Linked DNA regions of Mus musculus: region 1 is reported to be linked to region 2. The links are microRNA targets in miRTarBase. Many come from high-throughput screens and were not tested one by one. Region 2 holds a microRNA gene; the other region holds the end of a gene's coding sequence.
Evidence for each region. The annotated mature microRNA mmu-miR-196a-5p reads UAGGUAGUUUCAUGUUGUUGGG and lies in region 2 at 2,235-2,256, shown strand. An mRNA with a match to its seed (bases 2 to 7 or 8) in the 3' UTR can be bound and repressed. Matches are read on the target gene's strand: a 7mer-m8 pairs with bases 2 to 8, a 7mer-A1 pairs with bases 2 to 7 and ends in A, and an 8mer does both.

Region 1: miRTarBase lists Pla2r1 as a target of mmu-miR-196a-5p. Seed matches in the 3' UTR shown: 7mer-m8 at 5,793-5,799.

What each region holds. Positions count from the first base shown.
Region 1 is chr2:60,413,423-60,420,588 of GRCm38, forward strand. Pla2r1 (phospholipase A2 receptor 1) reads right to left here. Exons shown (of 30, transcript NM_008867.2): 29 at 6,986-7,018; 30 at 4,121-6,880. The coding sequence ends at 6,591. Among named protein-coding and RNA genes, the nearest start is that of Gm13580, 5.5 kb to the left of the region's middle.
Region 2 is chr15:102,971,131-102,978,296 of GRCm38, forward strand. It overlaps Mir196a-2 (microRNA 196a-2), which reads left to right and starts at 2,220; the gene lies at 2,220-2,304. Hoxc10 (homeobox C10) reads left to right here. Exons shown (of 2, transcript NM_010462.5): 2 at 1-768. It overlaps Hoxc9 (homeobox C9), which reads left to right and starts at 5,902. Exons shown (of 3, transcript NM_008272.3): 1 at 5,902-5,971.

The sequences.
Region 1 (7,166 bases), not on the chromosome of region 2:
GCTGCGCCCACTGATTCTCTAACACCGTCTTTAACACCGGCTGCTTCGTTTGTTCACCAACCCACTTACGCCAGATGTACCAGGCTCTGCGAATTACGTATGATTTATTTTGAAACGTAAAATGGGGCTACAGGAGTTCTTATATAAAAACTACAAAAACGGCTTTGTGAAACAAAAATATGAATAAACATTCTGTCATTGAGCAAGAGAATCTCAGATATGGGAGAAAACTGCAGAGATTTTGAAGGTGCTCAAACAGGTCCGCGAGCATCAGTAAATTTTTTTACCTGCTAGTGACAGTGAAGCAGATGCTTATGGAGCAAACCTGATTAGACCAACTGCAAAGAATAGTCTACTGATTGGTGCTGTCCTTAGCCAAAAGATGAGTGAACACATCTGGGCGTGTTCTAATAGAAAATACATGTATAAGCTAAGAGTGTATCTACCAATGTTCTTTATATATATATAAAAGTTTTATTTATTATTATACATAAGTACACTGTAGCTGTCTTCAGATGCACCAGAAGAGGGCATCAGATCTCACTAGGGATGGTTGTGAGCCACCATGTGGTTGCTGGGATTTGAACTCAGGACCTTCGGAAGAGCAGTCGGTGCTCTTAACCATTGAGCCATCTCTCCAGCCCCCATGACCCCTTCTTACAACTGATTTAAAAGGAGGTTCTTTGAGGTCCCAACTGAGTCAGGTATTACTGCATTACATGCAGTGTGAGTAATAATAGCACACGTGAAAAGTTCAATGGCTGCCCTCCATGGGAGCAGAAACAAGCTATGGATTAGTCTGAAACATTCATTTACCATTAACATGCTGTTGGGGGCTATCTTCTTTCTCTATATGTTTTCTGTTCCTGCTCTTCTTTTGGGAAGTTTAGTATAAGATCCAATGCCAGTGCCAGAGAGCGTCCACCATTGGTCCCATTTTCTCAAAGCTCTTGGATCCCTCCCTATAGTCGGAGGCGATAGCTTCTCCATCCCATAAACTCCTGGTCAGTGGGCGGAGACTATAGGAGTTTTGTTGTTCCTTTTGAGCCGCCATCCAGAATGGAGTGAGAGCCAGATCAGAGGCATCTTGCTTAAGCACTCCCTGTGGGGGTGGCTTGGATAAACACTGCCCATCTAGGCTTGCTCCAGGCCAATCAGTTTTTCCCCAGCCCCAATCGAAGTGTGACTCTAGCAGCCAGAGCTCACTCCCCGCTGACTGAGTTCTGTGAGTCTCTTCCCATGTTTTTCCTTTCGTTCCACACATCCCCTGGCAGGTTCCAGGGTCTACTGGGAAAGAGGGCTAACCATTAATTAAGCATTAACTAATTGATTAATTAACTAAGAGAGCTAATCATATCTATGACTTAGATTTCCAGCTCCCACAAAGCCCTACGCACTAAGAAGTTAAAGTTCAGACAGCCACTGGGGCCATGCCCTCATCAGGTGAGAGACAAAGAGAGGAGCTCCAGGCCAGGCACAAACAACAATAAAGCTGTAATTTCAGGGCTGGGGAAGAGGCAAGAGGAAACAAAAGTGATTCTTTAACTGGTTGTCACATTAAATTTAAGATTTATCTATTTAAAAATATCCAGGAGCGCATACAGTGAGTCAAATGTAGATAGGAGACTTAATGGGTGCAGTGGAAAAGACATTTATTAATCTTCAAACTCATTGATCATTAATAGGAAACATTAGAAGAAACACAGATTGGGATTCTTTTTAAAAAGCGATATTGGAATTCATTGCTTTTCATCAATCCCGGAAACGGATGATAGCATTTTAGATGCATTAAATTTGGTCCATCATGCTCACTTCACAGTGGGAAGAAAAACAGCACTTGAGTGATTTTTTTTTCCCCTTAATTTGTTCTAAATTATAGCGAAGTGCCCTGCAAGAAGCAAGTGCTCATGTTAATTAACTCTGAGTAGAGAAGGTCACTGTCACACGTGGGGGCTCAGTTTCTGGCTTTCGTGAGATATTCTCTTCTGCAATTAGAACCTTCATCAGGAATTAGAGGCGTATGCAGATTCTCTCTACTTTACCCAGCGCTTCATGTTTGGGCACTTTTGTTGGCTCTTCTTTAAAAACACTGAAGATGTAGTAACAATAATGAGATGAACCGCCGGTCATGGTGGCGCACACCTTTAATCCCAGCACTCGGGAGGCAGAGGCAGGCGGATTTCTGAGTTTGAGGCCAGCCTGGTCTACAGAGTGAGTTCCAGGACAGCCAGGGCTATGCAGAGAAACCCTGTCTCGAAAAACAAACAAACAAACAAACAAACAAACAAACAAAACAAAACAAAATAATGAAATGAAGCACACAGTCTAGATATTTATTTACAGGTATGCCTGCAGTATTGGCCTTTTCTTTGAGCCTGAATCTTTTGTAAAACCACATGCAAACAGCTTGACAGTGCTTCACAACATAAAGAGTTAACAAGACTGAATTTCGGTTGTCTTATGTTGAACTGTTAAGACCAGACATGAAATTATAAATGCTGTGCAGTCTGGAAAATCACCCTCCAGGATCCTCGGAATTCCATTGGGGCTGAGAGAGCTATCAGCAGCTGAACCCATACTTCCAAAACACACAGAATTTTTAAAGGCTCTAGTTTTCAGTTACCCCTAGTTTCTTAGAACGTGTGCTGTTATTTTTTTTTTTTAATTGGATGTTTGCTTTATTTCAATTTCAAATGTTTTCCCCTTTCCTGGTCTCCCCTTCGGAAACCCCCTATCCTTTCCCCCTTCCCTCTGCCTCTATGAGGGTGCTCCCCCATCCACCTACCCACTCCCATCTTCCCACCCTGGCATTCCCCTACCCTGGGGCATCAAGGCCCCAGGGTCTCTCTTCACACTGATGTCTGACAAGGCCATCCTCTGCCACATATGTGGCTGGAGCCATGGGTCCTTCCATGTGTACTCTTTGGTTGGTGGTCTATTCCCCAGGAGGACTGGGGGTGGGGTCTGGCCTGTTGACAGTGTTGCTCCCCTCATGGGGCTGCAAACCCCCTTCAGTCCCTTCTGCAACTTCTCCACCGGGAAACCCCGAGCTCAGTCCGATGGTTGGCTGCGAGCATCCGCCTCTGTCTTTGTCAGGTGTGCAGTTATTTTTATGCCTCAAATTATGAACGCACATGTTGATTTTGTTGGTCATACAACACATGGCATGATACAGGTGTTAAACTGAAATTGTTTATGTCAATTAATATTTGAATGGTAGACATGATGAGGAATCCAGAGTCTCTTGCCTCTTCTGATCCACTCCAGTATCAACTGTGAATCACTATAAAAAAATTACTTCAAATGGATTTAGCCACAATGTAAAGGTAATTATATACGTCATTCCTTTGGTTGTGTTTGTTCTGGATATCCAGACGTTAACTATATATTAATTTGGCCATTTTAAAGAGGTAAAGAGACTTCAAGACTAAACAGTCATCTAAAGAGACCATTCAGGTGTGGAGCTTTCGATGACAATCAAACCTGAATGGCTCTTAGAATAGGAAGAACTCAAGATGTTATTAACTGAAAAAAATCCAAGACTTTCCAATTCTTGGGAGTATCTAAAGATACTCAGGTCAGTCACAGGGGAAAAACTTACATATATAGATATTTTAATTTTTAATGGTCCCAAGGTCTAGTAAATTTTTGATCAACCCATGGTCAAAGACCCTTCAGGAAAATAATATATTTTAAAGGGATGAATATTAATCATGAGTGAATTTTTAATCCTATGTTTTTTTTATGCTGTAGTTATGAAATTAAGTTCTGGGGCTTCTCTAGAGGACGTGGGTTCAAGTCCCAGCACCCACATGAGAGCCCACAACTGCCTCAAACTCCAGTTCCAGGGGATCTGGCACCTTTATATAGAGACATACATACAGGCAAAACACGAATGCACAGTAAATAAATAAGAAATCAAATTCTGATTAAAAATAAATGTGCATTCCACTCCTAACCAAGAAGCTATTTACAATTGATACCTGCTGGGAGAAGGGCAATCAATTTTCTCCGTTGGAGTGATACTGGGTATATCAACCAGTTGGCCAACACAAAATGAATGCCAAGGGTTGCTTTATGTGTGTGATTTTTGTTTTGTTTAGTTTTTTTTTTTTTTGGTCTTATTATTTTGTTAGTTTATTTTAATTGTACTGTTGTTGAGAAATAGAGAGAATATGAAGTCAGGTGGGGAAGGAGATGGGGAAGGTCTGAGAGGAGAAGGAATATGGTCAAGATATACTGTATGAAAAATATTTTTAAATTAATGAAAGAAGAAGAGATCTATGAAAAGGATTTTAAAGGGTTCATATGTGAAAAAAGCGAGTCCCTTAGTACTCTATGTTTCTGAAATTTCAGCAGTGGGAACAAGTGCAAATTGGTTCATGGGGACAGGCTTCAGGGAAGGCTCAACACAGGATTTCAAAACAGAGCCTTGACAGCAATCTCATCTCTTTCAGCAAGGCCACGGCTGCAAGGGCATACTTTTGTCCACTTGTTATGTGTGATTTTATACTTTTACTGGGAGGCTAATTGACCACAGCTTCATCAAATCCACCAAAATAAAAGGAAATTTAATTTCACTTGAGAGTTTTTTAAATTGAGTCTTTATACCATCCGGTTAGTTCTTTTGAGTCATAAATATATAACTGCTACCTAATATAATGTTCTTTTAAAAGTTAAGTCCTATGACTTGGAAAACAAAATGAGAGTCAAGTGTCCCAGTGTGTCAGCCACATAACAGCAGTAGCAAAGAGCTGTGACCGGGAGCTGTAGTCGTTGTAATAGTCTACAGGGACTCTAGTCTTCAGGTTGTACTGATAAGGATCCCAGTTTGCTGTGCAGAACACATTCATACTTTTTCTCAGAGCGCCCCCTAGTGACGAGTGGCAGGTAGCACCAGGGCCATGGATTGTACTGGCAGAAATACACAAGGAGGCAAGCCTGAGAGTGCCCATGTTTATCCCAGGGACCATACTTAATTTTCATAGCTACCTCCTGTCGTCTGTGTATAGATTGCTTCCCTGGGAATAACGTGTCATGAGCATAGAAGCCACCCTGACTGGTTCACCCCAGGACTGTGCTAGAACAGAAGATCTATCTTAATAAAGACACCCAGTAAACACTCAGACGGCAAGTAACCTCTTACTCTTGATTATGGAGACACTTTTATTTATCATAAATTAATGACAGAATATCAAACCTGTGACCTTTTAATACACAGGAAATATACTTTAAAATTTTAATGTGTGTGTGTGTGCATGCACATATATGTGTGGGCATACTGAGGCTAAAGTCTGACATTAGGTGTCTTTTCCCATGATAGTTTTTGAGATAAAGTCTGTCACTGAACCTGAAATTCATCAGCTTGGCGAGACTGGCTGGTGAAAGAGCTTCTGGGATTCGCCTGGTTTTGTCCCATACCCACCCCAGAGCTGGGGTTGCAGATGTGCACCACTGCACTTAGTCTTTATGTGGGTACTGGGGATTTGAACTCAGGTCCTCAAGATGGCACAGCAGATACTTTACCAACTGAACTGTCTCCTGGCCCCAAATATCATACTCTTAATCCTCATTAACCAACCAATGGCATCAACTAATCCAAGACTAAAAGGAGATGGTCAGAATGGACAGTTTATTTTAAAACACCTTCTCCAGGGTTGTTTTATTCAGTATTTTTTCAACATCTTGTTTAGTTTGGTTCTAATGGGAGCACAATTCAGATCTTCACTTTTTTTTCTCTTTAAGTTTGAGTTACATCTATTCTGTAAGCCCTGGTTAGATTACATATTGCCAGGTAGTGGTGGCACACACCTTTAATCCCAGCACTTGGGAGGCAGAGGGTTTGAGGCTAGTCTGGCATACAAAGTGAATTCTAGGACCGCCAGGACTGTTTATACAAAGAAGCTGTGTCTTGAAAACAAAACAGAACAGAACAATAACAAAAGATTGTTATATAGTATTTTATAATTTTAGATTTTAGTTTTTAATAAGTAAGGCCCATGAACTTTGACAATATTAAACTCTCAATGCATTTCTTTAAACTTACCTAAAAGATATCTTTAAATCAAGGTAATCAATTAACAGGTGAGGGTTTATGGCACAGTTTAAACTGTATGGTTGTTCTTGAGAGTGCCTGCCTACTGAGTTCTTCATATGTAGGAGAAGGTGGTATTTCTCCCACTTAACTTGAGAATCAGATCTAATATAACTTTGTCATTCAAAGTATTAGTTGAGAGCTCAGAACCTGAAGTCTAAAATTTAGGATTTTCCCAAACCACACCATTTAAAAATGGTTGATTTAGAATCAAACAAGCACTGACTGGCAGAAGTACCATCCTGTCATATGGAGTGAGAGGACACGCCCCCTTTCTCTTAATGTATCGAGTGTACCTACACACTGAATGCTTACCAGACTGGCCTGAGAATTCTATTTAATAGTTCTTGTCTTTTAAAATAATGGGCCTTTTCAGAATGGGCCACAGTTAAAGGAAATGAATACGTTAAATCCCATCTGATTTGGTTAAGATTCAAAACCAGTGCTTGAAGATTAATTAAAACAGAGGCGCAATTCACACTATAACGGCATCTCGTTAAGGGGAAATGCAGATAGGACGCCCTTTGTGGCCTCTTTTGCTCTCTGTAGCTGGAGCATCTCTAACTTCTTCATCATTGGTGTTCTTCTCAAGATCAGAAATGAGAATGTTCTCTTCTAAATGTGCTGTGCTGAAGTTGAGTGTGGGGTAGTAAGAACCCCGAGACCCCGTGAGTCTCTGGAAGATGTCACTTTTCTGCTTATATATCCAGAAGCAAAGCATGAAAATGCCCAGGGCTATTATCAACGTCAGCGTTACTGTGACAGGAACGATGCTGTGGCTTAGTCCTGGAGAAAGACAAAGAAACACAGAGGACAGATACTGTCACATGCCTACCTTCTATCGTATTGATTCTAAGAAATATCTAAATATTCTTTCCCTTCCAAACCTACCTTTCTCTGGCTGCGCCGTTACAGCTGGGATGCCTAAAATCAAATAATAAACAAATATTTCTTTAAATTCATCTAAGTTATGTTATGTATTCAAGCAAAGCAAGAATCAGACTATTGCTCATATACCATGCCTAGTATATGAATGATGTTTTATTAGAGCTCTGATAGTCATTCATTCATG
Region 2 (7,166 bases):
TGTGCCTGGTGATATATTTTTTTCCCTCCCTGAGTATAAATGCAACTCGCCTGCAAAAAAAAAAAAAAAGGCAAAGACCTCAGACTCTTCTTCCAAGGGACCTATGGTTCGTGCTTCGAGGATGCTTCCACCTAAAGCATGAAATGGGGTGATGGGTTTTGGGGTGTTGTGTGTGCCCTCATAGATGGGGTGGTAGTGTGGCCGGTGTGTGTGTCAACTCTTCAGTCACCCATGCACTCACATACAGCATTCTGTTCTCCATGCAAAGTTGAGGTCAAATGCACCCGATTAGAGGGGAAAGAAAGGGGGATAATCAAACAGAGAGGGTCTGTAACCTTGTAGAGCACAGTTAGCATTGCTCCTTCCTTGCTGCATTTCCCCCCTTAGAATAATAGGTAGTCTTGAAAGTTCAGCTAGTATTTGTGTGTTTGTCATAGTACCCAGTGTCTAGACTAAACCCTCCCTCTCTCTGTCTTTCCCTCCCAATGGCTCTGAGAATATGCTTGAAGTATTTGTACTGCTTTCTGCTTTTCTCCCACCCTTCCCAACACACTATATCTCTCTCATCTCAGAAATTCCATCCAGAAGAACAAAAAAAAAATTAAAAATAGAGCATAGCAAAGTAAAAACAACCCCCCCTCCAAGTTGTCCTGCTCCTGTCTGGGAGTTGTGTTATTTAAAGATATTCTGTATGTTGTATCTTTTGCATGTAGCTTCCTTAATGGAGAAAAAAAATCCTAATAAATTTCCGGAATCTTAATCCTCAAATGGATGGGTTTTTTTTTTGTTTTGTTTTTAGTGGCGCTTTTTTTTTTAGCGGCACCCCCTCCCCCAAAACACTGAGTGTGTGGATATGTGTGTGTTTTGTGTTTGACTCATCTCCTACAGCCTTTCCAGAATGTCTCTTGGCGGGTTTAATGTAAGTGAGAGACCATAACGTTGATTTAAATATTATCCAGGTGACCACAATAAGTCAAGGTCATAAAACAGTAATGTCAGGACGGTCTTGGTGCGCGCGAGAGGTGGATTTTATGATCTGCAAATATAATGTGGTACTGCAGTAAAAGATGCATTTAAAGGTGACTGGAGGAGGGAAAGAGGCAGAGAGCAAACTGCAATCTTGAGGAGCAGACGGATCTGATTGCCTTCGGTACTGGGGCTGGATGCACCCCACCACTGCTGGGGGGGTACCTCAGGAACCCCCACCCATCTAAACAGAGGAATAAACTTAACTGCCGGAGGGGCACGAGGAGTTAAGCCCCCGCCCTCGACAGCAGCTTACAGAAGCGCCAGCGGCAGCAAGAGAAGGAGGAGGCAGCGACAAGGTAAGAGAATCGGTTTCTTGTTCTTCTCTTGGCGGTCGACTGAGGACTAGCAGCGTTCCCAGGTGCCCGGAGAGCAGCGCGTAGAGCACGGAGGAAGGTGTTTTGGGCGTCTGTGTTTTCTGAGAGACCCGGATTTTCCTTGTGGCCGCCAGCAGTGGAGGGCAGCGGCTATGAGCTCCCTCTCCTCCCCTCCCTGGTCCACTACCGCCGTGGGGTTCGGTGGTTAAAGGGGGTAAATTGGTGGTTTTGGCTTCTTTATCTTTGATGGCACTTAGGGGCGTCTAGAGATCCACCCATCAGCTTAGGTGTCTCTGTCTGGTTGTAAGGTAGAAGGGTTGGAGCTTGAAGCTTGGGTTTTCTTGCGTTTTGCTGGTGTGGGTGTGAGCCTTGTCCATGTTCTTGGTCTTCGTGTTCCCAAGCTGTAGGGATTTGCCAGACAAGTGGCCCGACTGTAAGTGGCTCCTGAGCACAGGCGCTGTGGTCTAGACACCCATGTTTGTTGAGAATCCTTAGACACTGAGTCTGGGAGAAGAGTAGAGGAGAGCCAGATGGATAAGACAGGGGACCCAGCTCAAGAGTGGAAGAACGATCCAGCTCCCCCCAGGGCCAGGGCCAGATGCAGGGGGATAGCTCTACTGCAGTACTGGGGGTGGGGCAGGGATTTGGCGGCTAGAGGTTCCTTTTCACCAGATTTTCCCAATGCAACTTGCTTATACCAGAAACTAACGGGAGACTATCAGACCCTCAACCCACCCAGCCACCCAAAGTCCACTCTCTAGTCCTCAGGGAGGTTGTAGGGCTGAAGGGGGACCGGGCTGAATTTCTTCCTTCCCCAAGCCCCTTCCCTTCTTCTTTGGATAGATGCAAAGCCCTAAACTCCGGCCCTGCTTGCTCAGCTGATCTGTGGCTTAGGTAGTTTCATGTTGTTGGGATTGAGTTTTGAACTCGGCAACAAGAAACTGCCTGAGTTACATCAGTCGGTTTTCGTCGAGGGCCCCAATCCACCTCCCCTAACCCTTCCTTCCCTTGTGGGACTGCCCCACCACCCATCCCAGAAAGGGCAAAATAGGTGCAGACTGAGGAGGTCAGGCTGTGAGTGGGGCCATGGGACAAATTCTGGACAGCCCTGCTTTACAACCATCTCCCCCTCAGCCTGTCCCAATCTTTGGAATGGAGGGAAAGGGTTTCTCCCCCCTCCTCACTCCCGTAGCTATTGTCTCCTGTGCCCAGCTGATAAAGACAGACAAAGAAGGTCCAGCCAATTCCAAGGAAATGCAGGAGTTTGAGTTTGGCCTGTTGGGCCAGCTTAGTTGAGGAACAGGGTGGGGCAGTCATGAAAGGACAGAAAAGCTCCTAGAAAGAGGAGGGAATCTCTGAAGTCTCTCCCTGTTACCTCTAAGGAGAGAGCAGTGCTCCTTTGGAAAGTGAGGGTGTTGGTGTTCAAAGAGTTAGGGAACTCTGAGAACAGTAGCCTCTTCTTCCCTCCATAGCTCCATCTCCAGGGAAAGGATGGATATAGGAAGTGAGTACATTAGTGGAGAAACACCAAGTCCAAGTCGAAACCTCCTTCAACACACCCTGTTGAGGGCAAAAGCCCAGCTCTGGTCTGTCTTGTCTGTTATCCGTAGGCCTTGGTCTGTATATTTGCCTGTCTGAGACTGCTAGGCATTTGCCTGTCCTTGTGTTCTGTGGAAATGTCTGGGTAAACAGACGCTGCCAGCGCCCACCGTTACCATATTGTTGAGAAGGCTGTTGGCTGATGGTAGGGGGCGGAGGGGAGAAGAATGGGACAGAGGGAGATCTGAGCAATGAGAAACTTTACAGACCTCCTCCACTCTGTTCCCTTCGGCTTTCTTAATTCTGGACTTGGTTTGTCAAGTGAGGATCTCAGAAAAGGTTTTCTGGTCTTCAGAGGAAAAAATGGGGGGATGATCAGGGAAAAGGGGAAACAGGCATAGGATCTGTTCTCAGAGACTCTGAAAAGGAGAAACCTAAAGGAGGCCAGATTCTTGGGGCTCTTTTGTAATTATGATTATGAAAGCAGGGAATACAACCATGTCTCTTAACAAATTATCATGAAAAATTTTGTATTCTCAACATGGTGTCTTAGAAGAAAAGAATGTGACTTTAAATTCATGACAAGTGTATAGGTCTCTGTTTCTATCTGTCCTTTCTAGGTTTTTTGAAATCTCTCTCTCTCTCTCTCTCTCTCTCTCTCTCTCTCTCTGTGTGTGTGTGTGTGTGTGTGTGTGTGTGTGTGTGTGTGTGTGTGTGTGTGTGTGTGTGAAATTCATTTTGACTTCTGTGGATATTGGAAAAGAAGATGTGAATAGACCCCCCCCTTCCCAGCTGAATTGTCGGTCCTAGCTGTTCTCCATCCCTTTGTGTGAAGAAAAGTATTTAAATCTCTATGGCTCCCAGGGAAATGAGGAGGTTTCCAGAAAGACGGGCCAGTTGGTGAAGGAAGATATGTATAAGGGAATCCCCTGGTTTGGGAGCCCATATAGTCTCTAACTTCAGAGTCTCTGAGGCACACAGCCAGTTTGGGTAAGGGGAGCCTCAGGCTGGAGCAAGGTGTTCAAGAGCTCTTGGCTTAGAGAAATGGCCCTGATGAACCGAAATTTATCAATACAGGGCTTCTGTGCCTTGAGTCACTTTGCCCCTATTTCCATTTCAAAGATGATGGATTTAAAGGAGGTGGCCACAGAGTCAGGGGTCAGGGCAGTCTTCTCCCTAGATCTGGAGAAGTGGAGCAAGGTCTCATAGGGCCAAGGTGAGGACCAGTCTGATGGTCAGAGTCCACCCTGGGGGCCCTGGGACTGTGGATCATGGCTAAGGCGATGGTAATTATTTATTCGCTTCGCTGGAAGGGAGTGTTCAGAAGGAACAGCGTGAAAAGGAGGGAAAAAATTATCTCTCTCATCTGAGGATATTAAGATGGATTTTTATTTCTTAAAGGACCCTCCCCGCCGAGAGCACATAAGCGTAAACTTAATATATGCTCCGCAGCCCAACTCTAGAAATCGCAATAAAAGTTAAAACCTCCCCTACTGGTTTTTTTTAATTATGATATGGGGAAGGGGAGCAGGATTTATAGAGCTGAACTCTCGGCGCGTGTTTGAGACTTGCGGGAGAAGGAGGAAAAGGCAAGAGCTCGCCAAGGAGAGCCCTGATCTCTGAGATGTCTCGCCGGCAGTGGGGGCTTAGGCTCAGCCCAGCTAATCCGCTGTGGTCTCTCTGGGACCTCACCCCAGCAGTCGGCCTTGCTTCGGCTCACTTGCTGGAAGATGCAGCCCTTCTTGAGAACAGGTGACGTGAAGGCGGCAAACGGGGATAGGGGAAGTATAAATGGGAAGACTAGCGCACAGAGCTTTGTGTGGGTCCTTGCTGGGGACGAGGTTAGCCCAAGTGTAGCTCAGCGGATGGCTGGACTCCGAAGGGTGTCCGGGCAGGGCACAAGAGCAGGGACAAGGTGGATTGTGTGTGAACATCGACCACAGACTGAGTAGAGTGGACTCCTGGTCTGTGGTCAGCGGCGAGCCAGGCAACCGGATGTTGAGTCTGTAGGAAGGACCTTGAGGTCTGTTGGGTGTTTGGGCTGCCGGGGGCGCGGCAACCAGGGGTATTGAGGGAGTGTGTTGTGCGCGGGGCGCGGCGGTCAGCTTGGGCGAGGCTGTAGGCCCCGCACATCTCTGCGGCTGATGGGCTGTGTCCGGGAAGACTAAACTAGGGTCGAACCAATGATTAGAGCATGAAAATAAATGCAGTTATGTGTTCCCACCTCCCCGTATACGCAGTTCTTTTTTTCTTTTCTTTCTTTCTTTTCTTTTTTTTTTCCTTTCGGAGATACCTGGATATGGTCCAGAGCAGGTTGTCCGCGGGAGGGCCCCGCGAGCGGCAGCGTGCGAGGGAGGGAGGGAGGGCGAAGGAGGGAGGGAGGGAAGGAGGGCGGGTGGCGGCGGCTGCGGTGGCCAGGGCTTCCCTCCCTGGGCGGGAGGCTGCTGCCCTGCCTCTGTGGCCGTGGGGAGCCAAGAAGCAGGTAAAGGAGGCTTTCTGAGGCGGTATTGCACCAAGCCCAAGGTACCAAGTCTTCCGGGCCTCTGCTTAAGGTTCTGGCGGGAGAGAAGGTAGGGAGATCGGCGCCCACCAGGCCTGGAAAGGAGGCCTCGGGATGTTCAACCTGTGTATGATTTCAGTCTCACACTCATGTTGTGGTCTGTCTGCATTGGGAGACGCCGCTTGCCTGTCTGTCTGAGACTTCCCAAACCCGGGCACTCCTTCCAAAGGCTCAGAAAAATTCGTCGTCGGAATGTGTACTTTCATTCATTGGATTCTCTGAAACTCGGCAGGGCTGGCTACGACAACCCAGGTTGGGAGGGAGCATTCTTCCTCTTTTCTGGATGTGTAGTCCTTTGGCTCCTTGGTCACAGGCTGAGTTTTCCGGTTCTAGGTTCGCGGGTCGCCCTGATGTTTGAAGCTAGACAGCTCCAGTCGGTTAGGGAGGGCGGGGAGGGACCCGCGGCTGTGGCTCCTTAATTGTACTTCGAGCCCTTATTGTCTCTCCTTTCGCCACCTCCGCTTCCTCAGTCTGGGCTCCAAAGTCACTGCAAATTTCCTTGCGATACATACATCACACAAAAGATCAGGTAACAACGCGCTCAGAGCCATTGAATCAGAGCACAGGGCAACCCTGGTTCTGGGGAGGCTACCTCTCCAGTCACTCCCCAGGCTGGAAAAACAGACTGTGTTGGGGGAGCCGGAAATAACCCCGTTTGCTGCGGAGCGGCAGGGCGGGGGCGCCGGCGCAAAGGCAGGCCGGGCAGGCCATGGCGTTGAGAGGGCCACGTTCACAGGCCCTGGGGGTTTCACGCTTGCGGAGCTTGGGGGCCTGGCTCTTGGTGTGGTGGCAGGGATCCCAGATACCCACCTTGGGTGGGGGTAGCACGCAGTTCTCCTCGCAGCAAGCAGGAGAACTCAGTTTCTGCTTCCAGCTCAGGCCTTAGCTAGGAGGAGTTGTGTGTGGGTGTGTTTTTCCCAACAAAGAGGGATCAGGAGAGATGGGGGGGGAACTAGAAGGGAACCAGGGAGGGGGGCGGGGAAGGCGAGAGGGCAGCGGAGGGACGAAATGAGCCCATTTCAGGGGGAGAAGGAAAATGAAAGCAAACGGAGTAGGGCCTCCTCGGTTCAGGGAGGGTGCTGAGGAGCAGAGAGCGGGCTCTCTGCCTGCGGCGGCCGGGATGGCCCGCTGGGGGCACAGAAGAAAGCCTGTTTTAAATTTAATCCGAACTTGACGGTGTGGATTGAACCGGAGGGAATTTAAATCATTAAAAGGGAGACACGCGGTAGGGGGAGGGAGGAGGATGACTCTAACCTATCTGTTTGTCTGTCCTTCCCACAGTGCTAGCTTGGCTGTTTTCTCAGTTGCCCAGGTTTGAGGTGATAGAGGTTTGCCCATCCCCCTTCAGGGGACTCCTCTCCTGTGCCCACTGGAATCTGTTGGGGGTGTAAGGTGAATACAGAATAGTCAGCTAGAACTGGGCTTTCTTCCTCCCTTTCCAGCAGTGACTCCCAGTTTCCTCAAGTCTCTCAGGTTGCCCCATTGATGCTAAGAACAATTGAAAGGAGTTGGGTAAATGAGAGAAAGTCTTAGAATAAAATAGGAGATTCAGTGGGAGTAACTGAATCCCCAAGATGAGACCTTGCTTCTTCGCATCCATGTCTTTGCCCTCCATATCTACAAGCCTAGATTTAGGGAAAACTTGAAAGTCCACTTCACAGTCCTGACCTGCTAGCTTTTAAATGTGAAACATGAGAGTCACAACCTATATGAAGGACCTGGGC